Linked DNA regions of Pelodiscus sinensis. The protein of the gene in region 1 interacts with the protein of each later gene in a pairwise test. Links are inferred from orthologs where the notes say so. Each region holds a gene or a part of one and is shown on either strand. Other genes may lie near its edges. The genes, in order: LHX4 and CHCHD2.

Region 1 (15,789 bases):
TTGTCTTTATTTTAATTGAGATCCCATGGTGCTGGGCCAATGTCCACTGGTTTGCTGCGGAAGGTGAGTTTGTAAATAGAATAATAGAAAGAACATTCACCTTATATTTTTCCTTGTTAGTGTCATCCCGTTACGCCTGGCTATACCCCTGTCTCCTGCCTAGACATATTCTTTCCTCTTTATTTGCCTTCTTCAAGTATTTTACACTATGTTCATACCCCCCTCCCCCCAACAATATTCAGTTAATTCAGTAATTTCTTGAAGTCACTTTAATGGGGTTTGGCTCAGTCAAAAAATGCCCCAGATTCCCAGGTGCTGAGTCGTCCCATCTCCCCCCCTCCCCCCCCTCCCGAGAGCCAAGACACCCGGCACTTCCCAGGATCCGGCCACAAAGATACTGTCCTCAAGGCTAAAACACTAAGGCTGTGTCTACACTGGCCCCTTCTTCGGAATAGCCATGCTAATTTAGAACTTTGGAATAGGGAAATGCATGGGGGATTTAAATATCCCCCGCAGGATTTAAATAAACATGGCCGCCGCTTTTTTTCCGGCTTGGGGAAAAGCCGGAAAAGAGCGTCCAGACTGGCGCCATCCTCCGGAATAAAGCTCTATACAGCTCTATAAAGTGCCAAATTTCGAAAGAATGCACTATTTCGAGCAATGTAGACAGCGCCAAATTTCAAAAGAAGCTATTTTGAAATAGCAGTGAGATTTAATCGGATGGCAAAATAGGGTGACCATTATTTCGACAAATATTTTGAAATATTTTGGTGGCTTGTATAGACGAGGGGGTAGCTATTTCGGAATACGCCCAGTATCCCAAAATAGCCGTGCAGTGTAGACACCCCTGGAGACTACACTGTTCCGACGTTGTCAGTTTCTCCATTTACTGAGAAGTTCATAATTCCACCCTAAAAATGTCTTGGCCGGCTCGCAGTGCCACAGGCTGCGGGCAATCAAGCCGGCAGCGAGTTTGAAGCTGTTGGTCTAGTTCACAGCGAGCAGGAGGAAAAGGGGGTTTTACTTGGTTTCGTTTGCGGCTTCACAGACCAAGAGCCCAGCGCCCGAATTGCCTTTCGGGGCAGCCCGGGGCGAGCCGTCCCCTCGCAGCCTGGTCCCCACGCATGGACACCGCTGCGTGTGTGACCACAGCACGATGCTCCCCAGCGGCCGTGGGTCCCACTGGAGCGAGCACCCAGGAGCCAGGGGAAGGTGCAGGGGGGCAGACTGGGCGCATCGCTGCCGCGTTGTTTTGTAAAGAGCGCGCGTCAGTTTCATGTGGCCACCGACCGCCGCGAAAAGCGCAGCTGGTGGCGCAGGAGCCTGGTTACTCCCCCTACGGAGGGGGGACTCCGCAGGGGCAAAGAGATTCACTGGATCCCCGCACCGCTCCCCCCCCCCCCCCACGCTCCCCAGCCTGGATCACCTCCCTGGCTAAGCTACCGCGTTATTTCAAACCCATAACGCCCAACATAGCAAATTGGAAATCAGCGTATTCCCCTTCACAAGCCGAGCTATTTCCAAATAACCGGCCCGTTATTTCGAAATAACAAGCTTGGCCGTGCGGAGGCGCTGTCTTCTTATTTCGAAATAACAAGGGGGTCGCTCCGTTCTACCCGTGAGAAAACGGGGGAGGGGAGGGCCGCGCGATGCGGAGCCCGAAGCGCTGGCTTTTCCGTGCCATCGAGTGAGTGGCAAAGTCGGGGATCGTGGGACCCGCCTCTCCTGAGCCCTGCTCCCCTGGCCCTGTCCAGCCACGGCGCTGGGGAAATTAGACTCCTCCTCGCGGGGGGTAAACGTGTAAACCAAACCCCGGCAGCGGCGGTAAGACCAAAGGAAAGGGCCCCGGAGTGTCCAACGCCAAGAGCGAGGGCTGACGCGGCTTTTAGCCCACCCTGTTCCACCTCGAGGCCGTGGGTTCCCGGGACAGCCCATCTACCTGGATCTAGCCAGGGGAGACACGTGGGACTTGTCCGGCTTCTCTGTGCTCGGGTTGGGGTCCCGATTCCCAACCGCAGCAGGGAGTTCCGCCGGTTCCGCCCGCGCGCAGAGCCCTGCCAAGGACTTTCCCGGGAGTCTCTCGCCCACTTTCCCTTTCTGACCTCAGCGCTGCGGGGAGTGGTTTTTACCGGGGGAGGGGAGGCTATGTGGAGAGGCAGCTTTCTCCGGGCCCCAGGTCTGGGTCCAAGGCGGAGGCAGGGTATCCTGTCAAATCCGCTAATCGGCCTCGGGAAAATACCCCTCTCCTCTCAATCTCCGGTCCCTCCCGGCCTGATGCTGGGAAGTGAATCCCCAGCTCTGTGGCTGCCCGACAAGGCGGGGAAGGCAGCAAGCGAGGGGGAGCCTTGGGGCAAACCGGCCGATGCGCGTTGGAGTTTCTCGGCTCGGCCTCCCGACTGGCGTTTGCTCGCCCCGCCGCGGATGCAGCCACATGTCAAGGGAAGCTCAGCAAAGCCGAGCGGCCTCGAGCGGGCCGCACAGCACCGGGCCGGGCCCGATCCTGCCCCAGAATAACCCCCGGCACCGCGAAGCGCCCCCAGCATTAGCGCGCCGCAGCGCGATCACCTGGCCCCTGGCGAGCCCCCGGCAGAGCGGGTGGGTGCCCGACCGAACAGGGCTCCGTGGGTGCCCGAAGAACACAGTTGTGCGCCGGGAGAAAAGCAGCAGAGTCCTTTCCCAGCCGGACCCGACACTCCCGGGGAAGTTAGCTGGGGAATGAGGCGCACGGGATCGAGCCCCGGGCAGGGCGGACAGGCGCAAAGCGCTGGCTCAAGGCAGCTGGTCAAAGTCTGGGAGCGTTTGTCTGTGGGGCCGGTTTGCGCCGCGGGTAGGTTCCCTCTTCCACTAACAAATAATTTGATCCACGCCGGAGCGCGATCCTGAGCCGCGCCGAGAAAGCGCTGGAGGAGGAGAGAAATCCCCGCAGCTAGGCGGGGGTGGGGATGCCTGCGCTCCAGCGGCCGGGGGGGAATCTGGCCTGGAGGGCGGTGTGGACGTAAGACGAAGGTTCTTTTCTCAGCCCGAAAGAGTCGGGGATCGGCGGGCCAAGGAGGGGAATTTAACAGGGCGAAAACGCCAGAAAAGCGCTTCGGCGCCGGTTTGTTCCTTTCACCTTCCCGGCTAATTCAGACAAAATGCCCCTCTAGGCGCACGGGCTGTGCGGAAAGAGACGCACCAAACAGGCGAGAGATTCCCGGATCTGGACAATTTTCCCCCACCCCAAATCCTTCCCGTTTCGTTTATTTCTTCCAGCTTGGAACCGGGGTTTGGACGCTGCTCCCCGCCCGGACACAAGACTGGCGAGGAAGTGGGGAAAGGTTTGATCCGGCGGGAACGCGCGGAAGAAACGCGAAATTAACAAGAGGCGAGGCAGGGCGCAAGGAGGCGGAAATCGCTGCTCCCCAAAATTCCGGGGCACGTTTCCGAAATGCAAAGGGACGGTTAGGACAGAGGACTCGCCCTCGGATGAGCTAAACCCGATCCGGCTCGGGATCAAGTTCAGACCAGGACAGGTCACGTTTACACACAACACATGAGACTTCACAAACCAAACCAATCGGTTTTGCATTTGCAACGTGGACCCACAAATATAGGGCTACCACCCCACACGCCTCCTACAGCGCCCCTTGAAAAAAAGGACGCGTTTCATCGGTGTTGATTTCTTCTGGACTTAGAATTGGTTCCGCATAAACCCAGACACCACAGGCGCAGCGGCGGTGGGTGCGTATGCAGACGCCACATTCTGTAGCGATCGATTAATGTTGCCCAATAAACGACGCATCGACGAACAAATACGGGACTATCGCTACAAAATCTCCCCACGCGTCTCCACTTCAAATCACCCCTCTCTCTCCATGGATCCGGGTGTAAAAAACGTTTACACGGATCTGTGCGCCAGGAGACACCCGGGGACAATTCGAATGCTCTTTCGGTGGGTAGAAATTGTTTGTCCGTCTGCGTGGGCCGGTCGAGATTCTCCGGTTTATTGAGCGGTGTCTCCTGCCGCTATTGCATCGCAATCCGCTGGCAAAGATCTCGATGCCTCCATTTTCTTCGCCCCCAAAACCAATTTCCACCCACCCGCTCTCCCTGCCTCTGGGGCGCAATATCCTTTTGCGCTAGCCGGAGGGAGGAAAGTGCACTGGGCGATGGCGGGGTCGGGGGAGTTTCCTCCTGCGGGGAAACAGGGAAATGCCCCTTTCTCTGATCTTGAGTGAGTGGGTGGCATATGGGGCACCTGAAGGGCGTAAATGTCACACGGGATCCCCAGGACAGCGGGGAAATCAGAGCCCGCACGGAGGCCTCCGCTGTTCGCGCCGCCGGTGTTAAGCGAGGCCCGCCCCTAGCCAGCTGGGCCCTCGAATTCGAATCGGGATCGAAGGGAACCGCCTGCGGGGAGCGACTCCGGGACCAAACTCTCCTCACACTCTCTTCGAGGGCAGTGCCTGGTTGTTCCGTGGCCTTTCAAGCAATTCTGCCCGGAGACCACTGCCCGGAGCAGCCCCGGTTTTGCCGCCTGGAATAAAGAGAAAACCGGGCGCGCAACTCCCAGGCCGAGGAAATCGGCGTCGGGCGCCGCTTCTCACGGGCAGCAAAAACTATTGTCCGCCAAGAACAATTAAAAAAAGAGCCCCGGGGCTGGTCCCTACCCCAGCAAAGGTGGGGGGTGAACAATCTACGGCAAACGCAAAGGAAAGGGGGCCGGGGCCGAAATTGTCCAGCCTTGCTCCGGCTGCGTCCGGAGGCAGCCAGGGTTCGCTGGGAAGCAAAGATTTCCGGGAGACCTTGGCCCTTATGTAACCCAGCCAAACGCAAACACCCGCCCGCCCCACCGCGGCAAAGCGGAACGAAGGCGCTGGAAGAGCCGGCGATGGAACGCGGCGGCCCGGATCGCTCCGGTGCGCTCCCTCGGCCTCTCTGGCTAGCCTGCCAAAGCCAAAAGGGCTTTATTTGGAGGGGAGAAAGGATATGGGGCGCTGCTGTTGCAAAGCGGGAAATTCCGAGGCTCCGAAAACCCAAGGGATGGAGCGTTTCTCCTCCCCTGGAGCGGGCTAGCTGGAGGGGATCCCTGCTGGTAAAGTAGCCAGATCCAGCCAAAGCCACAAGTCAGCAGGTTCGGGATTAAATGCCCGAGTCCTGCAGTCCCCCAGTCTGCAATGCCCAGAGCCGGGAAATGACTCCACCGGAACGAACTGATCCGAGGGAAGAGGCTGGGAGCGCGGGCAAGTTCAGCGACTCGGCCAGAACGATCGGCCCCTACGCGCACGGGCAAGTTCACGGCCAGAGATGCGCAGGAAAAACAAACAAACAGATCGAGATTTGTAAACGCGCGTCCATTGGTCCGCATGGAGAGGGGGCTACGAGGAAAGAGAATGGGCATAACCTGGATAGGGGATGGCATCCCTCGGGACAGGTCTTCTATTACCTGTGGGTACAAATCTCTCCATAAACACGCGAAGAATTGCGTGCAATTTCCGTACATCTAGCCGTGTCTCCGGGGGAGATTGTATCCAGACGTAACCAAAAAGCGGGCTCGATCGTCAGTAACTGGGCCGAAGCTACAGCGGGATTTGGGGGAGATTTGACGCGCAGCCTGGCCCTGTCTGACCAAACGCAGCAGACTCCTCGTTGTGAACGCAGGCGCCTTGACCCGAGCGATCCATTGGGCACATGGCCGGGTCCCGGTCGTTCCCTCTCTCTCGCAATTCGGGAGACTGGGCTGGAGGCGGATTTAAAAACCAGTGCGGGGAAGGGAGTGTGCCCGCGAAGGGGGGATAAAAGGAGCTGGGGGCAGGGGGCTCTGTGCAGCCTTTCAAGCGAGCCCCAGTTGGCAAGCGGGGCCAGCGTGTTCCACCCCGAAGCAAAGGGCCGGTCCAGCAGTCCAGCCTGCTCGGATTCCGCTGGCCCAGACCCGGACGGGAGATTCCCTGCCTCCCCTGGGTGCGCGCTAGGAAGTTGGCCTTCGGCTGGGGCGGGCTCCGCGAAGCTTTCCGAGACAAGCCCCCTCACTTTTCCCGTCACTGCGCCCCGCACGCCAGCCGGCTCCTTCCCTGTCCCAGACAGACCCCGCCCCAGAGGAGCCACGCTGGGGATCCGGATGGCCGGGGAGCTGGAAAGCCTCCCCCGCCCCAGCGGGACCCTACCCCGCAGCCCGGGCCTGGAGGGAGTAAGCAAAAGGATCTCCCCGCGCATTCTGCGCCCAGCAGCGCGCACGAGCCGCGCAGCCAGCGCCAGGCCACAGACCTGCGGCAGCATCTGCGGGAAACTCCTGAACTCTGCCCCGGCGCCCGGCGGATGGTCCCAGCGCTGGGCAGCGGCTCCCGGCAAAGCCCGCTCGGCCACGGGGGCCGGGCAGAAATGCCCCCGAGCCGCTCTCCGCCTAACCCCAAGCCGGGCTGCGGGAGCGGGACACGCCGCGCGCGGAGCCGAGCCAGCCCGGGGCCAGCGCAGCCGAAGCGGCAGGAGGGGCCCGATCCGCGCGCTCAGCCTTGGGAACAGAGCAAGCGGCGCGGGCCGGCGGCGAGCGAAGGGCGATCGCTGCGGAGTGTGAATGTAAATACCCCTGCCCAGGCCCAGAGATACACAGCGGGCACCCGTGTGTGTGTGTGTGTGTGTGTGTGTGTGTGTGTGTGTGTGTGTGTGTACACATACACAACATACATCCCTGCCCAGGCCCAGAGATACACAGCGGGCACACAAACAGAGCCCCGGATAGGTGTGTGCGCGCGCGCGTGTGTGTGTGTGTACACACATACACAACATACATCCCTGCACAGGCCCCAGAGATACACAGCGGGCACACACAGAGCCGTATAGATGGTGTGCGTGGGTGTGTATGTGTGTGTGTACACACATACACAACATACATCCCAGTACAGGCCCTATACTCGAGATACACAGCTGGCACAGATACAGAGCCGCGAATAGACGGTGTATGTGTGTGTGTACACACACACATATACACAGATACACAACATAGATCCTAGTACAGACCCTAGAGATACACAGCGAGCACAGACACAGAGCCCCGTATAGATGGTGTGTGTATACACACACACACACACACACACACACACACACAATATACATCCCAGCATAGACTCTAGAGATATACAGCGGGTATAGATACAGATACCCCCCCACACACATCCCATATATTTATATAATACAAAGCCATATTGTTATGGAATATGAATATAAACATCCTAGCACATACATAGATACATCAGCAGGCATAGATATATCCCCGTATATATGTTGTGTGTGTGTGTTTGTACACACACACAGATAAAACATATATACAGTACATAGCCATATTGTTATGAAATATGAATGTAAACATATTAGCATATCCCTATACATACATCAGCGGGAATCGAGATAGATCCTCATATATATATGGATCTCATATATACACATGCTATATATATGTGTGTGAGTATTTATGTGCACATACATTATATATATTATACACACACAGACACCCAAACACCAACATATATATGCGCAAGTACATACACACACATACACACGGGTTAATACATGCTCACCCCTATACACTACACGAACAGGCATAGCCACACATCTGCATCTAGTGTAGCTCTAGTCTCGATTTAGGGTGCTCGGCGTGTTCCAGGCCCCCCCGCCGCACACAGCCTGTGTCTACACTCCCGGAGCGGAGTCCCAGCTTAGCCCGGCTGACACCGGCTTCAGTTCCAATTATTTGACAAAACACTCGCCGGGGATCTCCCCTTCCCCCTGCAAGCAGCTCCCCCACCTGTATCCACGAAGAAATCCCCCGGCGGTGACTTGCTCTGGGGGGTCCCCATCTCTAGCAACAACCTGGGGAGATGGGGACACCGCTCTCCGCCCTCTGCCCGAGAACTCCCGTCTGCGGGCGGGTTCCCAACTTCTCCCAAGTGGATCCGGTGGCCGGCGCAGCATTTTGCTGGCCGCCAGGAAGACTGTTTACTTCCCACGAGCTGCCTGGCTGCTCCCCTTTCCCAGCCTGCGCCCCCACTCTGCGGAGCCCCCCGGGCACTTCCTTCCCGCTCCTGCTTCTCGCCCTCCGACTAGTTTTATAAAACAGAGGCAACCCGCTTTCCCAGCCCTGGGCAGGAATCTGTCCCCAGGAAGATCCCCCCCGTCTTACCTTGCTGACACACACACTTTTTGGGCCTCTCCCCAGCTCACAGTGCCGCTCACCCCCCTCCCTGCACCACGGAGGCTCCTCTCATTGCCAGTTTTCTTTATTATGAAATCGATGAGGGGAAAAAAAATGCCTTACGTTGCATTGGCACGCCAAGAATCTCTGGAAGCCCCTTGGCTGAGCCTTCTGTGGTGAGCGCTGCGCTTTGCATCATTTTATTGAAACACGGGGGGAAAATAAAAACAAACGGCCCGTTTATCTCGCTAGGAAAATAAAATAAAATAAAACATGAAGTTGAAAGTACAGTCAGGGCGGATCCGTCTGCACGTGCAGGGGAACCGGGGCGGCCCTGCTGTAGCCCTGGTCTGGCGCAAATCCCTTTCGGTGCTTCTATCCCGGGTTAGCGTCTCCTGGCTTAAGGGGGTGATGCTGCAGCAGCTCTTTTCGCTGGAATGCCGGTCCCCTGAAGGCAGGTTTGATTCATTCACACTGCAGGGAGTGAGCGTGACGTCACTTTCCGCAGGGAGGCCCCGCCCCCTCCAGCCAATCCCCTTACATCATGTCAGAAGTTGGGGCGGAGACAGCTCCAGCCTAAGGACAGAGCGCAGGTAACGAATTTTGGGGGCGGGGCCGCCTGGCGGAGTGGGCGCGGCCTGCGCCTTTGTGGGCGTGGCTACCTGGCATTCAGCTCCTCCCCTGCCCTCAGAGGGCTATAAAAGGCAGCGGAGGCAGCAGGTGGCTCACAGCTGCCTTGTCCTGCTGGCTTTGCGCAGCCCTCCTCTTTGGTCCCAGCGTCTCTTAACTCCGGGGGATACCCCCGGGGACAATCGCAGCCCACCTTACTGTCCCTCGTGTCTCTGTATTCCTGCTGCGGCATTTCAACCCCCCTTCCCTTCACCCTGCGGCTTACCCGCCCGGAGCTCAGCCCCATGCAGCTACCCCGAGCCACCGGACCCTGCAGAACCTGCTGCCTTCCTGACGAAACGCTGCTAGACATCTCGCCACCAGCCCGCCGCTCGTTCCGGCTGGGATTTGCTCCCGTGGAGTCTGGAAGAAAACCAAGCTCTTCCTTTCCACCGGGCTGTCCCCGTTTTGCAGCGCTCCCCTCACTAAAGCTTCTCGCTCCCTTTCTTCTCTGCCTGCTCTTGTCTCCCTTCTAGCGGCTGATCGAGCTCCCCTTTATCCGAATAGTTCCCGAGGTTTTATTTCCCCCTTTCCCCACGTCGCTACTGTGTCGCTTCGCAGCCCACCGCCTCGCGGAACAATTCTCTGGTCGCTATTTCTCACCGCGCATTGGGCTCTTGTTTGAAATGAGCGCAAGTTGCGTTGTCACAAGCCTCACCCGCGTTGAAATAGCCGCGTCCGTGCCTGGGATGCGATCCCTCCCCTGGCTGTTCGTTGTCACTCTTCCCCCCTTAAAAACGGTGCTAGTCATCACGGCCGTATTGGGGCTTTCAGGGCCGGGAGCTCCCAGACTGGCGCAGAAACGGCTTTTAAAAATAGCTTTAAAGTGTAAACCAATTATTTCTTCCACATATACATTAGAACGCCATTTTTAAACATATCTCCAGTGTTAATCTATAAAACAATATCCTGTATCATAAAGCCTCAGGACCCAGGCTGGCCCCAGCCCAGGCTACGCATGGAGGCTGGACGACTGATCAATTTCATCTAGTTAATTTCAATCATTACCCAGCCAAACATCCCCCTCCCCTCGCGCAACGCTGCGTTTGGAATCGCGTTGCTTGTTCGCTTCGGCGGAGACCAGACCTCGCTACGGGCACGGCGGGGGCTGTGTCCCCCTCTTGCTTCGCTAGTCATTGGGGGGGGCTGGCTCGACTCCCCCCCCCCCTCCCGGGAAGGGGTCCTAAGCAATACAACGCTCCACCTTAAACACGGCACTGTGTGCTTTAGCTCCCCTCCCGTTGCTCCTAATGGCAGGCTGAGTGCGGGTTGGCGGGGGGGGGGGGGGGGGGCCTTTGGCAGCGCGTTGTAGGGGTGAAGGGATAACAAAAAAGTCCCGAACTAATGCCCGGCTGCCTGGCCTGCCCCTGCTGCGTCTTGGGCCATCCCCCCCCCCGGCTCCTGCCATGCAGCGCCACGCCGAGAAACGTCCTTTGCGGGAGAGGCGAGAGCAGGGCTCGGTTCGTGGCGACTTGTTGCCATAAAACCAAAGATCAGGCGCCCAGACCGGCAGGACCAGGCGTTCCCCAGCCTGATCAGCTGGCGGGGCGCAGCAAACGAAAAGTAGCCGCCCGCCCTGCTCGGGGAGGAACGGACGCCTTTTTTGGGGGGGTTAGCAGCGGATTGGACAACTCCCGCCCGAAACCGACCAACCCACCCCCCCCGCCGGGGTTTGAACCCGCCCCAGCAGCGCCGGAACGAGCGTCCTTCGCTGTGCCCGGGCACCTGGCCGTTCCCACCGCAAGGGACAGATCCTCAGATGGCATCGGGGTCCTCGCTCGGCTTGTGCCGGGGCTGGGCCTCGCCTGGAAGGAGCCCGCGTCGGATCCGCCAGCCAGTCCCCACGGCTGTTAGTGATCGTAATCCGGAGGCGTTAGGAGACACGCGGAGCGGGCAGGGCACGAAATCACAAGCGCCGAGAGCTGCGTCTTGGAGGACGCGGCGCACCCAGCATCGGGCAGGAGACTTTGAAGACCCACCTGGCCGGTACGTTCGACATCGGCTCGCCCCGGGGCGAGCAAACACGGAATAGGCTGGGATGTAAAGACGGGGAGTTACTCTCTGGAGTGGGTCAGAACCGGCCAGATTTTGCCGGGAGAAATAAAGAGGGCAGATTTGGATGAACACGCAGGTCTTTTTAAATGAATTGTTTAACAAAAAAAATCACAAAAATATCGATCCCATGTTTAGACCAGCTTGAAAGCTGGCTGACAATTTCCAAATCTTGACCAAAAAAAAAAGCCATTGAAATATCAATATTTACCTCACTATTCCCCCCCCCCCCCAACATGACCATTTTCCCATCATCTCTCTTAATATCCTTGTTTACCTAAACCAAGTACTGGGGACCAGGGAGCAGAGAGTGACAGAAACCACCCCAGGAACAAGGTGCGGGACACAAGTCCCAAGAGGAAGAGCCAGATAATTCACATATAAGTAGGAAGCCAGCCCCAGTGATCCAGGAGGTTCAGGAGTTCACGTGGGAAGTTACAAAAGATGCATATGTGTTTTTATCGTAGGTATTTATTTCATGTTCATTGCTCGTGGGGTTCTTTAATCAGGACATTAACTATAATAATAGCTCTGTATCACTTTTCATCTATGACAAGAATCAGAGGGGTAGCCCTGTTAGTCTGAATCTGCATAAACCATGAAAGCATAAGCTTTCGCTCCAATAAATCTGTTAATCTATAAGGTGCCACCGGACGTCTTATTTTTCATCTATGGGTCACCAGATGTTTTACAAAGGGAAAGAAGAACCATCTCAATGTGCAGGTGGGGAAACTGAGGCACAGAGCAATTATGCAACTTCCCCCAGGCAACGGGGCAAGTGGCAGAGCTGACACTTAATTTCTAGTGGGCAGATCCCTCAACGGGGTCCCAATCCTGATGACTCCCAACATGCAACATCCAACTTCCATGAGTCCAGGGGTCAGGTGGCAACCACCAATTCAACAAAAATAGCGTGTGGTGACAATGGCAGTTAAATGAAGTGGAGGAAGGAAAAGGGAGCCCTGGATGTTAAAAAGAAACAAGAGAAATCACTCCAGTGGTTGCACAAGAGAGTTTGGAGATGTTTCATTGCTGGAGAGCTTCTGTGTGTGGTTACACTGGTCCCCATTATGAGAGTAAGCACACCACACTTCCCCAGTTCCCTTTTAATTCAGGGGGAGGGAGAGAGGAAGGTGACAAGGGGTGAAGTTAATTCCTGAAGAAAAATCATTGACCTTTAGTGCAGTTAAATACCAAAGGTGAATTTGGTCCACCTGATTTAAAAAGAGTAGGGAGAAAATGCAGAGAATTTCTACACAAGGAACCTAGGGCATTATATATGTGGGGTTCTCAAACTGGAGGTTGTGAGTGACCCCTCAGAGGGCTGGGAGATTATTACATGGCGGGTTGCAAGCTATTAGCTTCCATCCCAAACCCCACTTCATCTCCAGCATCCATCACAGTGCTAAATATTTAAAAGGTGTTTAATTTGTCAAGGGTGTCACATTCAGAGGCTTGCGGTGTGAAAAGAGTCATCAATGCAAAAGTCTGAGAACCACTTGCGAGTTAGCTAGTGGAATATCGGCATAGAAGAGGTCGCCACATGTTGACCTTTTCCTGTGACATAATAGACAATATAACAAGGAAGAACAAAATGCCAAAGATAGTGGGAGGAAAATGCCCCAAAGAGTTTCTTCATTGTAGAAGACAATAGAGACATGCAACATCATTTCTATCAATATTATTAATACTTATGCGCTAGCACCCGCTATGTGGGAGGTTACTATCAGCGATAGATTATGTTGGTGAATTGCAGAAATCAATGCAGCAGATCCACACCTACTTAGTGACATCCCGGGATTGCAGATGGGGAACATCTCAAAAGCTATGTGTGTGTGTGTGCATGTGTGTTTTGGGATTCCTATGGGACATGGCTCTGAAAGATGCAGGGAGATGGCCTTTATGTTAATTCCGTAGCATGCATCCACTAAACTGGTACGAAATCAGACTATTCCAGATGAGTTCAGCTGGATAAAGTCTAGGAGAAGGGCTGGGCAGGAGAAGGAAAAGCCTGTGTGTGCAGGCAGTTAAGGAGAGATGGATTAGATGCATAAACAAACCAGCAGGAACTACTAAGAGGGCAAGGGGGAGATGACAAACCGAGTCTGGGAGAACCCCTTCTATGGAAGGAGGAAAGAGCTAGTCTGCAAAAGAACTCGCTCAGTGGCTCTGGAATTGTCTCATCAGGGAAAAATACACATGAAACAGGTGGTAGCTGAGGGAGGGAGAGGGCAGGAGAGGAGGAAGGGTATGGAGTCAAGTGGCGGCCAAGCATAAGAGATCTTAAAGTTTAATAAATGTTGAGTATTCACAGGTATATGGGTTTTCCCCAGCATGTGTTCCTTATTTTCCTCAAAGTGAACACAGGATTAATGGGTACACACTTCTGCTTTCTGCATTGATCTCCTTCCGTGGCCCTGTGAGGCAGATCAGTGTCATGAGCCTGATGTTTCAGATGGGGAAACTGAGGCACAGAACGATCCAGTGACTCTCCCAGGCTTGCACAGTCAGTCTGTGGCAGAGGCCAGAGAACCCAGGTCTCCTGAACTCTAGTCCAGTGCCTTGAATCACAAAGACCCTTTCTCCTCTCTAAATTGATCGCCAAATCCCTGCTAGTAGAAATACAAACCCTTGCATGATGTAGGATCTAAGAGTACATCTACACTGGATGGCTGTTTCAGATACCTATTTCGGGATACCCCGTGACATGAGGGTTAAGGGATGGCTCGAAATAGCACTTTATTTTGAAATTTGGCGCTGTGTAGAAGTGCCACATTTCAAAATAAATTATTTTGAAATAGAGTCGAGATAAGATACACAATTTGCATAGTGCATCTTATTTCGAGTTTAGGGTGCTGTGTAGACACACCCTTAATGACCCTTCCTATTCAGTCAACTAGAGGAGAATCCATTCATATTTCCTAATCCTCTGTTAGCAGAAGCACAGTTTAAAGGAATGCTAACTCTAGCGTTACATAAGTAGGCTAAGAAGGAATAGATTTATATCGGTAAATGTGGATTAACATTGATTTCACCACACACTACTCCTGCAACAGGCGTATGGCTTCAAATGCAACTGTTGCAGAAATCCAACAGGAGTAGTACATGCACAAACCAACAAAAATATTTCCGTCAATAATCACCCAAATTTATAGACAGGCAAAGTAAGAAAAATGCAGCTTGAGAACTTACTAAAGTTTGATTTAAAGCTATTTACTCAGCATCTACTTGTCGTTAAATAATTGTCTGCTCCCTGTTCACCAGAGTTTCCTGCAACTGTGACAATTTAAATAGATAAAAGTGCTTAAACTCTTCATTTTGAACAGTGGTTAAAAATTTAAATAGATACGATTTTTTTAAAAATTCATAAAAAGTTTTGCAAAGTATGTACAGAAAAATAACACCTCTTATTGCAAAAAAATTTTTTTTTAAATAAAGTGCATTAAACAAGGCAAATAAGAATGCTGCATTGCATGTGCAGGCCACTCCAGTAGGAGTCTGGTGGTGAAGATGATAACAACAGCTCTGATTGTTAGAAGAGGTTAATTTAACTGCAGGATCAAGATGGAGTCCTCCAAAGCTTTGCAAAGAACTCCACCCCTAAAAGATATTGAATGACAACACCTTCAGCCAGTGAGGCCTGGGCAGAATGATGACATCATCAGACCTCCTCCTTCTGGCTGTACATAACTGTGGGAGCTCAGTACAGTGTTACTCAGAAGTGCTGGAGGCCCCAAACACCAGTTAAGTTAGTGAGAGCGGTGCGTGGTTGGCTCTGCTGAAAGTCAAGCCCCGAGGAAACACCGAGAGTCGATTCAGCTTTGTGAGCTCATGACATGCACCACAGCCAGGGCCTCCCAACTCAAATCTGATGACGCAAAGAGGAACCGAGGGACACAAAACAGGTCCGCATTTCAAGGCTGGTGGTGCTATTTAACACCAATTGTTGCTGACTTTCAAACGAGTTAAATTGCCCGACACACAATATACTTCCCCACCCTGCAGATATGGGGCAGGTGTTGATGTGATTGGTGAATTTATCACAAGCCTCTCCTTGTCATAAGGGTATGAAACTCATTAGAGCTGGGACGATGAACTTTATTGCCTGGACCCAGTGCCCTGACCTGGGTGAAGAAGGGTACACCCCCCCGATGCGCGACTGGGGTCTAGATACTGTGATTGTAGGAGTCATTGAGGCACTCATCTGCATTCTGCCAAGTAATAGGGACATGCAAATGCAGACTAGCCAAACTCTGTTGGACAGCCGCCTACGAATAATAACTACTCGTGAGAGCTTGCCTTTCTGACGGGCAGGCACATCGTCCAATCAGCACACAGGAGTCAAACCACCACCTCTTCCAGGCAGTCAGCGCTACAGGCAAATCTCTCAGAGAATTAAGCCGCAGTCACGGAAAGGCCATGGGATCTCTGTGCTAATCTAGGTGGACCCAAGCAGCAGTCTTCCAAGTGCAGGGAGATTTAGAAGCCAGGTGGGGGGAGCAAACCGCCATCTTTCGTCAGCACGGTGGGAATGATGCTCCAGCCTGGCCCGCCCCTCAGTCGCAGTAAGACCCCCTCCCTCAGACAGACACACAAACCACTTGCGGTTCAGAGAACGGCCGCCTCTTGGGGACAAAGCGGCGTCTCCGGGCCTCGTGCAGCCGTCTGACGCGGGGCTCTCAGTACAAAACAGACAGCGAGGGGACTAGAAGGCAGATTCCTCAATGCAGATGTAAAAGCTGGGCTCCGAGCACAGCACAGCACGCAGGCTCAAACCTGTCTTCCTCCCCTCCAAGATGCCCGTTCGCATTGGGAACCCGTGTCCCTAATTATTCCAGGGCTGGTGGAAGCCAGCTCATTCTTCTTCGTCTTTCTTGCTGTCTGGAGAACAGCTCCCGCCCCGC
Region 2 (15,782 bases), on another chromosome or scaffold:
ATGCATGGAGGAGCCCTGAGCCTCTGACTGGGTGGGGCTAATCCCCTGTGAAGCTGTGCTGCCATGCAGCTTCGAGGGAACACAGGCTGTCACCAGAGCCCGGCCATCAAGGGCTGAAGCCCTCAGGCTTTGACCCTAGATCAGTGTTCCCTGTGAGCTGAGCATTTGGGTGGCCACCCAGCTGATTAGCAGAGCTCCCCCAGGTAGCATTGTTTCTACTGGTAGTACACATCAAATTTATTCTACACACAGATGGAAGCAATTTCAGGAAACACTGCCCCAGATGGTAGGCTCAGACAACCCCATTGAAACAGGCTCACAACCCACTTTGTGGTCCTGACCCACAGTTAGAACTGCTGCTTTAGAGGTTTCTAAGCCAGTAGTTGCAAAGGTCAGTAGTAATATCTAACAGTACAGGCTGTTACTAGCTGCACCAATACACACAGCAGCAGCTGAAGACAACTGAACTGCATAGCACCATACAGGACTGGCTTGCTGCCATAAGAATATTGTTGGCCTTATGATGAATGTTTCCTGGTAATTTTTTCCCCTAAAATGAAGCAAGTAATCCATCCCCATTAAGTCACATACTTATTAGTCCTGCTGCTCTTAGGAGCCAGGATTATGTACATTGATGAACTGCACATTCTAGAAAAAAATCAGTACACAGTCTCCTTCAGACATGAGCTGTTTTGCTGTATTGATCATCATTTAGCTCGTTAAATGCAATAGCCATGTATTTGTTGGCATTAGACAGTTCCAATTAACAAAAGCCTCTGGATTTCCTACAGGAGCTTCCCCTGCCTAACCACCTCTCCCTATTTTATAAAGCTTGAATTAGGGATGTAATAGTATGGTCAATTAACTGATAACCTACGTTTTTGCTTAATGCTATATACTACACGCATTTCCTCCCCTTCCCCACTAGTAATTTTTTTAAGCAGGCTGACCAGCAGCCCAGCTGAGTCCTCGCTCACCCTGGCTCTGGGACCTGCCCTGCTCAGTTCTGGCTCATGTCAGGTCTGGGAGCTCAGACACCCCTCCCCCACCTCCAACAGACAGGCCAGGTGACAGCCAACTAGTCCACAAAGGGAGCTGGTTTTTCAACTGGCTCCCCTTGCAGCTCAGCTCCTACCTGGCACCCCACATTGCAGCCTCTGAAATAGACTATTCAATTAATCGATATTTAACATCCCTAGCTTAAATGATTAAGATGAACTGGGTATGTGAAGAGCAATAACCTAATGAAGCAGGACAGTTAATCCCTATAGGGACAAGTCTGGCTCTATTCAGTGATGTTAATTGCTTCAGTTGTTCCCAACTTGAACAGATGAGCTGTGGGCCTACAGTGTTAGTTTTCCTAGTTTCCAGATACTTATAGGAGACCAAGCTATGTCAAAGGCTATGGGGGTAGCTGGAAAGAAGAAGCTAACATAGTACCTTTACCCAGGCTGCTGGGTAGATGCAGACCAACAGGAAGATGTAATTAAATCAGGGAGAGCAGTTAGCCACTGAATTTACTAAGGGTTATGGATTTTCCATCAATGGTAGTGTAGAAATCAGAGCTTTTTTTAAAAAAAGCTTATTTGAAACAGGACTCTTTGGGGACATTCATAGCCTGTTTTACCCAGCTGGTTAAGCTACAGGATTACAATGGTCCCTTCTGACCTTGGAAGGTTTTAACAGAGGGAAGAGAAGGGAGAAGAACAGATGGTCATCAATAGGGGAATATGTCGCATTTAAAAACCTGTCCATACTATAAGAATTTGAGAACCGATTTGATTTTTATAGAACTGAGGCTCCCCCCCACCCTCCCAAGACTGATGTTTGCAGCGAGCTACATACATGCCATTCCTTGATATCATTTGGACCAGATTTTCAGAGTGTTCAGAACAAACAGTGGGAAGCATCCTTGAAATATGGTCAGCATGAAAAGGGCATGTTGTGCAGAGTGAGCTATCCTGAAAACAGCCCTGGACTAACAGACATAGAAGGGGTGTTTCCCTACAGATCTATTTCTATATCTTATTCCCACAGGAAGGGATAACTCTTAATTCAGAGACTCAGACACTTCAAACATTGAGATAATTTTATTTAGTCTTAGTCTCACATTTAAACAGCAATGTAGCCAGCAGAACAACTAGTTTTGATTAGGCCCCTTGAAATAGTTTGCCCATCTTCAGAATCTTCTAGTTTAAAACTACACTGTTACAATCAATCCAGCATGTTTATCAATGTGTCAAAAAAATCTAAAGGGACCTTTAAGTTGTGTCAAGGTTTGAGCAATCAGTTATGAATTATAATATAAACTAACACGATCTTACAGATAGCTTTAGACCTTAGACGTTTATTACTGAAGCATCTTTCAATTTTAGAACTTCAAATGCTAATGTTCAACTTCTTCGTTCTGTAGAATTTGATTAGGCTAAACCTGTAAATTAAACACAGAATTAGCAAAATTATAAATTTCCATGCTGAACAAACGTTTAACCCCCAGGCAGTGAACAGTCTGTGCTCAGGTGATTCAGGAAGACCCAATTCCTCAGTGACACTAGGCATCCCTAGGGTTTGGTGCACTCCCCTCAATAAAAGCCAGAACAGCTGACGTGGCTGAGAAACACCCATTAATAGAAATGCACCTTACACAGTTTGAATTTCCACTTTTGAGTCCACTTGTAATTTCAGACTTGCACATTCCACAAAGGAGGTAATGCATTAGAAGTTTTGTGCACTTTCAGTTCCATTCCAAGTGACTACTGTGGGATCTGACACACAACTCAGCATGGACAATACCATGCTGGTTCTTCTCCACTTTTGATACTGGGAAGAGGCACTTTGAGATAGCTACTTAATCTTATTGATTAGGTAGCTAGTTATTAAATCTGTACCAGACCCCACACAACTAAGCCAGCTACTCACCATTAGCAAACTTGCACTGCTTCAACACCTCACTGAAGCCCTCACACAGCTTAAGGTCACTCTGGTTCTGTGCACACTCCAAAAATTGCTTCATTTCGTACTGGCAGGGGGTGTACTGGCTCTGCTGCTGCTGATATGCAGGCTGAGCTGCTTGAGGCTCCTGAAAAAGAAGCCACAGTAGGACAAATTTTCATCTTTGAAAAATGAACTTTGATTATTTCTAGCTATACAGAACCTGACCAGCAGAGGAGCTATTACAATATGTATATTTCTACTTATTTCTTCCCTTGTAAAGATAATAGGTACCCCCTTGGAAGTTCTGCATCTTTCAAGTAGTAAGGGTAATATGCTTCCCCCCAAAATTAATGGAAGTCAGCCCATTAACTCAATCAGATGTAAGATTACATCAAGTATTTTAGAACACAAGACCTGTCCCTTGAGGGATTCAAAACCCAATACAGTAACACAAGGACTAGAGTACCTACAAAAGCCTGGCCTCAAGTATTAGTGAACAGAAGTCAATTCACATTCAATAAAACATTAAGATAATTTACTGTTTCTCTCATATATTCTTGAGACTGTGGAAAATGAACTTGTTTTGGCTTGCCAAAGTAAAGTGCCTGCATTTTAAAGAAAAAGGTTACCAGAAGAGACATTAATGAAAACTTGATCTGTCAGTCTCCAATCTGTTTCAGTAATATAAACCATTAGGTATGGAAGGAGAGGATAACGTGTTAAATACAGCAAAGCAGGATGGATAAAAATAGGTGTTCAAATCCGTTTTTAATTTATTTAAGTTAGATTTTATTTATTTTTAAAACAAAATTATCTTAAAATAAGTTACTACATTCTCAGTTGTCACAACTATGCAACATCTACACATACTAGTCTCAAAAATGAATTAATGGCTCTAGTCTGTCCTTCCTTGCTTCTTGAAAGTTCTGGGCTTTCAATTTGTTAGGTTGCTGAGAACATGTGGAAAGAGAAACAAGCTGGATAGGATTATTTTTGTTCTGTGCTCACGTGGTAGCAAATCTGGGCCACGCATGGCAGAGTAAGTTAAGACATTGTCTACAGTAGGGATGTAAAATCCCACTTAATTAGTTAACCAGTTAAGAGAGGGATCCCACCCACTGACCACAGACAAAGGCTGCCCTTATCTGTTAAGGATTAACATTCTTAGTCTCAAAACAGAAACAATGTACAGTAAACTTCCGATAATCCGGCACCTTTGGGACCCAGGGGGTGCTGGATTATTGGATATGCCAGAGTACCAGAAAGGGGGCTATGAAGGGTCAGGGGGAGGTCGGCAGGGCACCGCACAGCACTCCAGCTGCTCTACCCCCGGCTTCCGCAAGTCCGCCACTGGTCAGTTTCAGCAGCAGTGGACTTGGGGAAGCTGGGGGCAGAGCAGCTGGGGTGCTGCCGGGTTGGTACCGCAGCACCGCCCCCTCACCTGAGCTTTGCCCCATGGCTTCCCCAAGTCCGCCGCAGCTAAAACTGACCAGCGTCAGACTTGGGGAAGCCAGGGCACAGCAGCTCCAATTGTCCAGCTGGCTAGAGCACTTCCGGGTTCCAGTTGGTGCCGGACTATCAGGAGTGCCGGACCACTGGATGCCAAACAACTGGATTTTACTGTATAGGAAAGGATGGAAGCAGCATAGGAAGGAACTGTGGAGTGGACTGGGAAGTAAAAGAGAACACAAACAGCACACACACAGCTTCCTAGAGTCCCCTCAACTTTTGCCACAGAGAGAGTGTCATGGCTCATGTGTGTAAAGGAGACTATCTGGGAATATTCTGAAGAAACTCAATCCCTGGTTAAAAAAGGAAAATGTGTCAAGTGTAAGGCTAGGTGCAAGAAACAAACTAGGGACACAAAATCCTGGTTAATCAAGTTAAATGGTTAACGGGACAGGACAAGCCTTCCATGGGTGGACAACTGCTCTGACTATGCCAGGCCCACTCCAGGCCAGGCCTGCTCCAGCCAGGGCCCCACAGCCCACCGGTAAGCCATAACTGGTAAGCATCACCCAGTAAGGTGATGAATCATAAGGAAAACTGCTTACTAGGAGAAAGCGTGGCTGTCTGAAGAACATTGTACTATTGTTTGAAGAACTATATGAAGTCATATCAGTGAGAAAACTGATTTAAGTCAACCCACCCTTGATTAAAGTTTTAGCCTTAGCTGACCATTTTAATCTAGTTTTGACCTCTTCCCTTAACATTTTATTACTCTGGCAGCTAATCAAATCAAACCATGAGGGCATTGGATTCAACAGACTATGTGTCACACTCTCCTTTCCAAGTTTCTTTTTTTTTGGGGGGGGGGGGGGGGGGGAGGAGGAGGAAGGGAGTGTCAAGAGCCAGTAACTTCTAAACACAGTACACCCTCCACTGCCTGACACTAGTCATTTAAAATACATTTCATAAAAGGCATGGTACCAGGCAAAATAAACATACCAGAAAATAACTGTGCATGTGTCCCCATATACCAGCTCCCTACATTAAGCACTCAGGCCTATAATTTCAGTCACAAGTTATCCAATTTCACTCATAGCTGAGACTTAAAATACAGTGTTAACCACATACCTGATAAGTAATATCAGGCCTTGCAGCTTCAGAGCTGCTTCCTCCACCAAATCCTCCTGTCATTGCATGACCTAGTGTGTGTCCTACAGCTGAGCCTACTGCTACCCCAGCAGCTGTTGTAGCCATCTGTGCCATCAGACCAGGTTGCCTTGGTGCAGCAGCAGCAGAAGTCATTGCAGATGCAGGGGCAGGTGCCGGTACTGGAGCACGAGCTGCAGGGGCTGGAGGTGCAGCTCTCATTTGTGGTGCACGACTGAATGGGGGGTTGGGGGGGGGAGGGAGAGAAGAGAGAAATAAATCAATGCAAAAAGAGGCAACCTTTGTAAGAGACTTTATACTTAAAATCCTTTTGTGATATCTGTAATGCTTATGCCGCAAGCCTTGCAATACGCTACGGCTGTTCTCTAAGCAGAATTGTCCAAACTTGAGGATTAGGCCCCTTTTTTAGGGCTTCATGGAGACACAAGACTCCGCTCCCCTGCCCATACTATGAATGAATAGAAAAAAAAGCCAGGGAGCCACGTGATCATTCAAGCGCGGCGCAACGTCACAGCAGAGCCGGGGGGCGGAGGGGGGGGGCGGCGCCGCAAACCAGCCCACGAGCGGCTCCCTCAGCCGGTTAAACATTCACCGCCCCGCCAAGGCCGCGATTACCGGCCGCCACGTGCCTCGGCGGGGGGAGGGGGGGCTTATGTAACTCGGGCCTCGGCGCCCCTCTGCTCGCCCGGCTCCCGCACGCGGGCCCGAGGGGCTGTGACCGCGCCAGGCCGCAGGGGAGCGGCTGCCCCGCCAGGCCTAGGGCCCCAGCGCGACCCGCCCCCGCCCCCCCTCAGCTCCCGGGCCCGCCCACCTGGCCGGCGGCGCCATGCGGGACGTGCGGCTCCTGCTGCCCCTCGGCATGCTGGCGGCGCTGGGCGAGCTCGCGAACGGCGGGGACGGCGCCTGGCTTCTCCGCTGCACAGCCGGGGCCTGGCCGAGCGCTTTCCGCTTCCGCCCTCTTGAAGGTCACCGGGCCGGTACGTAATAGTCGCGCCGTGATTACGTCACGCGCGCGCCCGGCTGCTGGGCGGGGCCTCAGCGCAGCGCGCTCCCTCCTGCGAAGGCTGCTCCAGGGTGCGTGTCCTCGCGCCTGTGGCTGGGAGATTCTCCCGTGAGCCCCTGCACAAAGGCATGTGTGTGTGGAATAAATGTTGTGATGTGCAGTGAGGCATGTGCACCCCCAGTAAAACGTATGACGGCTGTGTCTAGACTGGCCACTTTTTCCGGAAAATCAGCCGCTTTAATGGAAAAACTTGCCCGCTGTCTACGCTGGCCCCTTGAATTTCCGCAAAAGCACTGACGATCTCATGTAAGAGTGTCACTGCTTTTGCGGAAAGACTGTGCTGCTCCCGTTCGGGCAAAAGTCTTTTCCCGAGAAACTTTTGCGCAAAAGGGCCAGCGTAGACAGCTCCAATTTGTTTTCTGCAAAAAAGCCCCGATCACGAAAATGGCGATCGGGGCTTTTTTGCGAAAAAGTGCATCTAGATTGGCCACAGATGCTTTTCCGCAAAAAGTGCTTTTGCGGAAAAGCGTCCGTGCCAATCTAGATGCTCTGTTCCAAAAATGCTTTTAATGGAAAATGTTTCCGTTAAAAGAATTTCCGGAAACTCATGCTAATCTAGACGTACCCCTGGTGCTAGCTGTGGGCAGTCTGCTGGGTGGCATTTGAATCTCTCCTGAGTGGCCACTCCAACAATCAGTTTACAGGAAACACTGAAGGGACCCCAGATGGTCAGAAGAAAGATGGTTTTAGCACAGCCCCTCGTCCTGGGTTAAGGTCCTATCTAGAGGCTAGTGAATGCACATCACGTGGCCCTGGTATTGGAAAGTCAAGCAGGACTATTCAATTAGTCTGAGAAACAGCCACTGAAAGCGAGCAGTAGGGAGTCACTGTCCATGTGGAGTTGATTTTAACAGTTAGTTATAAACAATCAGTTTTCATTTGGCAGAAGAATAACAAATTCAGTGGTTCTCTTTGTATAGCATCTGGTATAAAGGGGCTTAATTGTGATAGAGATCTCTAAGTGCTACCATAAATGAATTGTTAATTAATAATAGTAAAAGCACTTCACTTTAATGTTCTCACCAGTGCCACTGTTCAAAAATCAAGCCAAGAGAATTAAAAATAACAAATATTCAGAGGAAAGTAACTAGAGCCAATGCATACATTTAGTAGGAAAATCTTAAAACCATCTACAATCAAATTACAGTCTTGTGAATGTTGCTATATACAGCACATGTTTAAATATATCTGTTAATCAAGATCGTCTCATCTGAAGAAGTGGGTTCTGCCCACAAAAGCTCATTAGGTATTTGATTAGTCCAGCCGTGGCCAACCCAAGGCTTGCGAGCCACATTCGGCTCTCCCCCCGCCCCCCCAGGTAAGGTTGCCAGATGGCTTCAACAAAAATACCGGACTCACTTGACATTACATCATAATCTACATTACATCTTATTTAGAAAATACCAGACATTTATATTTTCTCAATTTGTTTCCCAAACAGAAAACTCAAATACTGGACTGTCCAGTTCAAAACTGGACACCTGGCAACCTTACCCCCAGGTGCAGCTCACAAAGCCTCCCTGTGGCTTGTAAGCGGCCCCTGCGCCCCCAAAAATGGCCCTCTCCTCCCAGGACAGGGGAGCCTTGCAGCACGGCCATGAAAGCTGCAGAATTAAAGATGGTGGCAGGAGCTTTTTTTTTTTTTTTTTTTTTTTTGCTTGACCAAACATGACCAGGGCTCCTTTAAAAGGGGCAATCCTTTTTGGTTTTGCTCAAGAGCTTTGCCCTGGCTCTTCACGCTGGATCCACTGCTATCTTGAATCTTTGCCCAGAATGGGCTGGCCACCCCTTGACTAGTCAGTAGTCAACTACCTGATAAGCCTAGGCTTATGAGAAGCAGCAAGGGGGGGGAAGGGGAACAGGAGCCAGTTTAAAAGCTGGCTCCCCTCAGCACCATTTTGGCCATGTGTGGGGGGGGGGGGGGGAAGTTGGGGAGAAAGACAAGAGTCACGGCAGTCCCAGAGCTGGCGCAAGCCAGGACGGCTCAGTCCTAGCACGCGCTGGCTCCAGGCTCTGCTGCCGCTCTACATTTTAAATGTAGTAAGCCCAGCAGCTCTTACTACATTTAAAATGCAGAGCTGCAGCTGTCCTGGAGTTCGGGCTGTTCAGTCCCGGCTTGTGCCAGGTCCAGGAGCTACACCCACTGTGACTCTGCAGTGTAAATGAAGTATGAGCCAGGCTGCCTGTGCACCCAGCTCCTTCTAAATTTAAACTGCAGAGCCAAAGCGGGGGTGGCTCCTGGACCTGGCGGGAGCTGGGACAAAGAGCCTACCCTTATCAACTAATTGTGTAGAGACAATACAATTTGTATCAACTATACGATTAGCCAAATATCTATTTCTGAACATCCTTACTATGCATATATTTTTGTTAAGGTGCTACACGGCTATTTGTTGTTTTTAAAGTTACAGACTAAAACAGCTACCCCTCTGAGACTTAAGCCAAGTTTAGTTAATGTGAAATGTATTAGTAGTAGACAAATACTACTTTCCAAAACTTATTTGGGTATAGGTTCACACTCAGAGCACCCTGTAATACAAAACCTGTTCACAGTTGTTTAGCTAAAGTCCAAAATGTTTTTCTCTTTTAAATGGTGATTCGCATAGCATGTGTGAGAAATTATACTGTTTGTTTAAATGTATTGCTATGTTTAAATTTTCATCCTTATTAATTCATTATTTGATCTTGTTCTCTAGAACATGCATCAATTCAATCCAACTTTATATGACTGTGATAATAAACAATCAGAATGAAAGTGGCAGACATCTTACCCCTCCATCTTTATTTCATATCTCACTGCCCTACTTAACTTTCTTCCATCTTTACAACCAGTTCCCCAAAAAGCATACTTGTGTCATTTTCACATCCAAAAAGAGACCTACTATCAATTAGATGTCTAGAACATAAAAAAATCTCAAGTATTGATGAATAAAACTAGGACAATGATTCCACACACAGTTCATTGTAGAATGGGAATCTTATACAAATCTTAAGTAGAGAACATGAACTTACAGGCCCCAACTCCCCAAAACACCCATGATCAAAAAAAATCAAACTCGTTTGACTGACACTCGTGTGACAATAAAAGCCAATTTTTAAAAAAAATAAGCCAATTAAAATGTTTTTATTTATACATATGCACACAGCTATCAAATACAAGAAAGACTTTATGTACAATTTTATCAATATATATAACCAATCATTTAAAAACACCACCAATCTTAAAAGCACAATTAAAAGGGTATACTTAAAATAACAGACATATAACTTACTGTTGGTACAACACTTAAGATCAATAGAACTTGAGAACATACATTGTTTCAATTTACATTGTGTATTTGACACCTCTTCATATGTATTTTAGCCTGTATTTTTGGTCCTAGATCTTGGGAACATTTGTGCTCAGTTTTACATGCCTGTGTAAATTGCTCAGTGAGACTACTCATGTAGTTCTTTGGAGCAAATAATCATATCTACAATACCTGTTCCAGTTGTGAAGTAGCATTGCATTGGGCAACCTAGGATAGCGAATGGGCTGCACGAGTGTTCCACCTTCATCTAAGCGTTTAATTACAAGACTATTGTAATTAGACAGTCTCCCAGGCTAGGGTAGTTTTGCTAACTGTGCTTCTGTACCTAGAATTTGCAGGGTGTGAATTCAACAGGACTACTAAAGTATGTGTCTATGGACCTTACAAAAGGATCTCCTAGCCAGGAACACTGGCATCAATAAAGCTTCACATCCATATGAACAATCTGACTGTAGAATTGGTGTCTTCAAATGTAGTCAGACAGAAACCCTGGCTTCAGTCTTGTCTCTAAAGTGCTTAGAATACTGTTGGCATTATAATAAAATAACACAAAATGAGGCCAAAAAAGTACCAACAACCTTGGTCTTATTGAAAGAAGTGTCACTTATTTTTCCCCACAAGACATGGTATTTAAACAGTGCAACAGGTGAGGCACAGCATTCCAAACAATGCTCCCTTTTCCTAAGAGGAACAGCATTTAGACTGTGGGGAGGTGTTTAAAATCCGGTCCTCTATTCAGCCTGCAAGAAATGGACACCAAACATTGTCTCTTAGTTACATGATCAGACACTGTCTGAGATTTTACTATTTCATTTACAATCAATACAAAACCAAGAATATATAGAGTAGGGATGTGAATGTGCACTCATGTACACAGTTAACCAATGAAACTGAGCTCACTGGTTAACCCTCAGGGTTACACACATCCCCTCCCCATCTCCGCTGCCTCTGTATTAGGGCGGGAGCCGGTACATGCTCTCCTTTATCTCAATAGGCTGTAATATTGTCATAACCAAGATGATCTGGGGCAGAATAGTTTTGTTAACTGCACTTGTATATCTAGAATTTGCAAAGTAAGCCGAATGAATTGTAGCAGCACTTTGACTGGATGCAGAAGGAGTGCATGTCTTGGACGATGCTGTGTGCAATTAGCACGCATCCCACTCAATGACAGTTTTAGGAGGGGAGGGGCAGCAGCAGCTGTGCACTCTGGAGACAGCTTGCTTTTCATCCCAGTCCCTGGCTATCAAGGACTCTCACACCTGGCCCCCGTACCAGCCCAAAATTCCAGCCTTGATCATGCTTCATGTGCATCACTTTAGCAATACCCATAAGAAAATATGTGGATGAAAACCAGCAAAATCTGGCAACCTGTTCATGAGTAATAGTAAACAAATGGTCTTGTGGGCCACAGGTTGGACCCTGATAAGCCACTGGTTGCCCACTATTGGGCCGTCATTGGGCCTGGTCTCTAAGCAACTCTCTCAAGGTCTAGACGCTGAAAAGGAACATTAGGGTCCTTGGGTTGCTTTAGCTGCGGGGGGAGGGGCTGCCCTTGGTTTGGGGCCCCCCCCGCAAGACAGGAAGGGGGTGTGCGGGGCACGCGAGAGAAGCTCGTGTCGCGCTGTCTGCAAAGGGATTTCAGGGGTGGGGGCCCCCCAAGAGTCCCTGGGACCTCCCGGGCCCCGAGCGTAACAACTCGCCCCGGCGCTTCGCCGCCTCCCGGCCTGGCTGGAGCGGGGGCCGCGCTGCTCCCGGCGGCGCCGCTTGGCCTGGCTGTTGCGCAGCTTCTGGGCGATCTTCCGCTCGTGGCCGGCGGGGAGGTAGCGGTTGGTGCGGAGCTCCCTCTCCCGGCGGCTGCGGCCCTTCCCGCCCGAGCCCGGGCCCCGCGGCCCGCTCCACTCCCGCACGTTGTACCACTCGTACGGCTCCGCCTCCTCCTCGGGCCACACGGGCGCTGCCGCCTTCGGCCCGCGTCTGCGCCTGCGCCGGCCGCCTGGCTCTGCCATGCCTGCGGAGCCCGCCGCGACCTGAGCCTGCCCCGCCCACCGGGGGGGGGGGGAAGTCAGCCGGCTGCGCTATCCTATTGGCTCCGCGCCTCTAGCTCACTACAAACCCCACCCCCTCCTGTGTCGTCATAGACAATGTCGCTCCCCCTTCTCGGAAGGTTACCGTCCTCTGGCCTTGCAGGGTTGCTATGGAAACAGAGGGCGTAGGCCAAAGAATCCCCTTTTGAATTCACAGGCCTAGCTGCAAATAGGAGCATGCCTGCCCCTTGTCACTGTCTATATGCAAGGGGATTGGTCCTGCCCCCCACGTCTGTGCGCAGGGTGGAGACATTCATACCTAAAGGGGTGTCACCTGTCCACAAATCTATATCTGCAAGGGGTGGTCCCCTGCACCCCAGTTCTGTATGCAAAGGGAGCGCTCATGTTGTCTATCTAGGGGAGAGTATTGCCCCCTAAGTCTATACACAAAGGGGACCCGTGTTATCTATCTCTCCTGTATGCAAAGCAGTGTTCCCTCTGAGATTTTCCATCCATGAGCCAAGTGAATGTTGAGGTCACGTGCACTGGTTTGGATGTGTGCCACTGTGGCACCCAAGTTATTAACAAATAGCTTATACATATTTTTAAAATAGTGATAGAGATGCAGCCGTGTTAGTCTGGTCTAGCTAAAACAAAAGACAGAACTATGTAGCACTTTAAAGACTAACAAGATGGTTTATTAGGTGATGAGCTTTCTTGGGCCAGACCCACTTCCTTAGGTCAAATAGTGGAAGAAAATTGGCACGACCATATATACCAAAGTGATACAATCAAAAAAAGTGAACACATATAACTGACAGATCAAATTTTAGACTCACCCCCACTCTGTTCTAAAATTTGATTTTTCAATTTTATGTGTCCTTTTTTTTTATTGTATCACTTTGTTATATATGGTCGTGCCAATTTTCTTCCACAAATTGATCTGAGGAAGTGGGTCTGGCCCACGAAAGCTCATCACCTAATAAACCATCCTGTTAGTCTTTAAAGTGCTGCATAGTCCTGTCTTTTGTTTCAGCAAGACCAGACTAACACGGCTACATCTCTATTACTATTCAAAATGGGAATAGTTACTCGCCAAATTAGTTAATTCTCTTGCAAAAAGCTATACTGAAGTTCAATACATCATTAGTTCAATACATCATTAGTTTACACAGTTCTGTCTTATATTTTTAAAATGTTATGGAAGAAAGAATATTAAAACAAGGGATAATTAACAAGGTGCATGACTTTAAATGTTTATTTAATATGAAATCAAATCCAAACAAAATAAATACTGCAAAAACTGTGTGTCTGTAACCCATGTCTGGGCCCTTTTAAATCGCTGGCCCTCGGCAATTGAGCGCCTCTGCCTCACTGTACTTGTTGGTGGGCCTGGAGGTGGTGGTGAGATACAGAACAATACCAGCCAGACACACTCAGGTCAGCCTCAGGGGGCGCAGTGGGGAGCCGGCCTTGTTCATGCAGCTTGGCCGCAGGCAGAAAATTGCAGGTGTTGCAGGGACTCGGGCCCAGGGTGACCCATGGTCCTTGCATCCCTCGGGCCTTGGTTGCTGCCACTGGGGACCCCTAAATCCTGGCTGCGGGCATGGAATACTTCTAGCAAGTGAGACATTCCTGCTGCTCCCCGGGAGACTCTCCTAGTGCAGAGAACCCAGCTTGGTCTCCCTTGCTAGATAGCACCTCCCCTCCCCTGTGGGGAGAAGGTGAGACCTGCCCTCCCCCAGATGCGCTGCTTCATTGGCAGCCTGTGTGTAGGGTAGAGGCTACCCCAAGCAGCTCCCCATGGGGTTGGCTGTGAGTCCAGATAAGTAATCAATTCAGATTTTGTACCTAATTTCCAGCTCTCTCCTCTAACTTGGGCCTATAGTGATTCCCAATAGCACATCCTCCATAAATCAGACATCATTCAAAAGTTGGCAAGCAAATATATATTGCATTCCACCTGGAATAACAATTCAGGACCCAATCCTGTATCTGTTGAGTCTCTAATTACTCTCAATTGATTTAATGAGAGCTGAGGATGCAGAGCACCTCTTAGGTTCTTATGTGGTTGAATTGTCACTAACTATACATAAAAATAGTCTTGAATTGAGACTTTGTATTATTTGGGGACTGAACTACAAAAATGTGACTGTTGCCAGTCAAGAGGAAGCATATTTCTGTTCCCCCACTTTTCACCTTTCTCTCTTCATTGCAATCAGACATTTTTTTCTCCACGCTAGTAGAAATTAGAACCTAGATAGCAACAGACATTTATTTCAATTTAAGCCCTTGGTAGGGAGCCAGGACATCCTTTTTAAAATTTTATTTTTATGAGTCTTGAGCACAACATCTATTCTCCTTGCTGCAATAATTTCATAGTGAGTTTCTATGTTGTGATGGATAGTAGTAGTACTTGCAAGCACGCGATGACTAAAGGGTTAAACTCACCCTAGGTAAGGGTGTTGGCAGGGAGCCAGAAGACTCAATGGGATACAGTGCTGAAATTTAAATATATACCTGCTGCTGTTTCTCTTTCTGTGAGTTTTTTAAGTTAGGAGCTGGAGGAAGCAAGATGAAGTAATCAGACAGAATTACTGTGCCTACAAGGAATATTGGGCATGGGAATAGACTGGGCCTTGAAAGTACAGATCAGTACAGCTCATGAGTAGATAGAGAAATTTATGTTTAGTTGAAATTAGGGTATTTTTCTTTGTTTTGTTGTTTGGTTAAACTTCCCTGTGTGAAATCCAAGTGCCTTCCTCTTCCCCCCATTCGCTATGCCAGAGATGCCATATTTTCTTTGTGTTTTAATCTGCTTTTTTCTCAGTTGCTCTGAAATACCTAGCAACTAAATATTTTTGTTTTGTTATTAAAATCACCTTCTTTTAAAGTGATGATTTGAGTCTTGTGTCCTGAAAAGTAACAAGGGGTCTCTGTGTGTGCGCCTACCTAAAACTGAAAGGTCAGCTTTCAGAGACTGCAGTTTGTTTTCTGTGGCTTTTTCTTTTTTCAAGCTCTCTTGTGGTAAAAGAGCTTAAGGTATCCCTTGGGAAAAAGTTCAAGTGTTTTTTCCTGGTTTTCAATATTTTCATTCACTTGATGGTGGCAGCCTATCTCCCAGAGTCAGTGAATCTGTGACTCTGGGGAGCTTTTTTAGCAGAGCCTATAAAGGTAAGGTATTTTTAAGGTCTCTTGCAGGCCCCCACCTTCTGTACTCAGAGCGCCAGAGTGGGGAACAGCCCTGAGATATGTGTATTACTTTTGTTCCATAGAACAAAAGAGGCACTAATGGCATCATTTCAGTGATGAATGCCACCACTGTGTTGCTTTGTTGTTTCCCATTCCTCAGGAAAATCTACAGAGGCTCATATTGTACTAATTTACTGTCCTATTTGCTAATGTCAGCAAGACCAGAAGGCTCAAGAGAGCAGGCAGATAGGTGGGGTACGATTGTACTGTGGGGCTGTCTACACTGGGAAGGATTGGCAATGAAAGTGCTGTTGACATGCAAAAGTAGCCAAAAGTGAAAAACCGTCAAACTGCTTTTTCTGCCTCCCATTGTCGACATTTCATATACATATTGCTAGAACCCTCTAAAGAGCAAAGCAATGTGGGCAAACATCTCGTAGTTCAGTGTTATGGGAAGGCAGAGCTGATCTCTGAGCTTCCTGGATTCCCTCGTAGCTCTGTGAGCTCTCCATGCTGAGGAATGTCAAAATAGCACAGCAATCTCCCCAGCCTTTTGTTTCAGCAGAAGTAGTCTGTCTGCTGCTATATTCCTCCTAGCAGGGGAGAACAGGAGCATTCCAATGATATTTTCTTTGTTCT

What was found.
Region 2: the proteins of LHX4 (region 1) and CHCHD2 interact in binary tests that used the Homo sapiens proteins (3 or more experiments, as listed by UniProt). The two-hybrid records come from large-scale screens. The link is inferred for Pelodiscus sinensis from reciprocal best matches to the Homo sapiens genes LHX4 and CHCHD2.

The regions. Positions count from the first base shown.
Region 1 is NC_134719.1:59,247,923-59,263,711, forward strand, and holds the start of LHX4 (LIM/homeobox protein Lhx4), read right to left. Parts: upstream 8,603-15,789; 5' UTR 8,364-8,602; coding exon 8,288-8,363; intron 1-8,287. UniProt on the Homo sapiens protein: May play a critical role in the development of respiratory control mechanisms and in the normal growth and maturation of the lung. Binds preferentially to methylated DNA.
Region 2 is NC_134731.1:20,150,852-20,166,633, reverse strand, and holds CHCHD2 (coiled-coil-helix-coiled-coil-helix domain-containing protein 2), read right to left. Parts: upstream 6,544-15,782; 5' UTR 6,412-6,543; coding exon 6,362-6,411; intron 5,765-6,361; coding exon 5,512-5,764; intron 3,080-5,511; coding exon 2,920-3,079; intron 2,432-2,919; coding exon 2,421-2,431; 3' UTR 2,076-2,420; downstream 1-2,075. UniProt on the Homo sapiens protein: Transcription factor. Binds to the oxygen responsive element of COX4I2 and activates its transcription under hypoxia conditions (4% oxygen), as well as normoxia conditions (20% oxygen).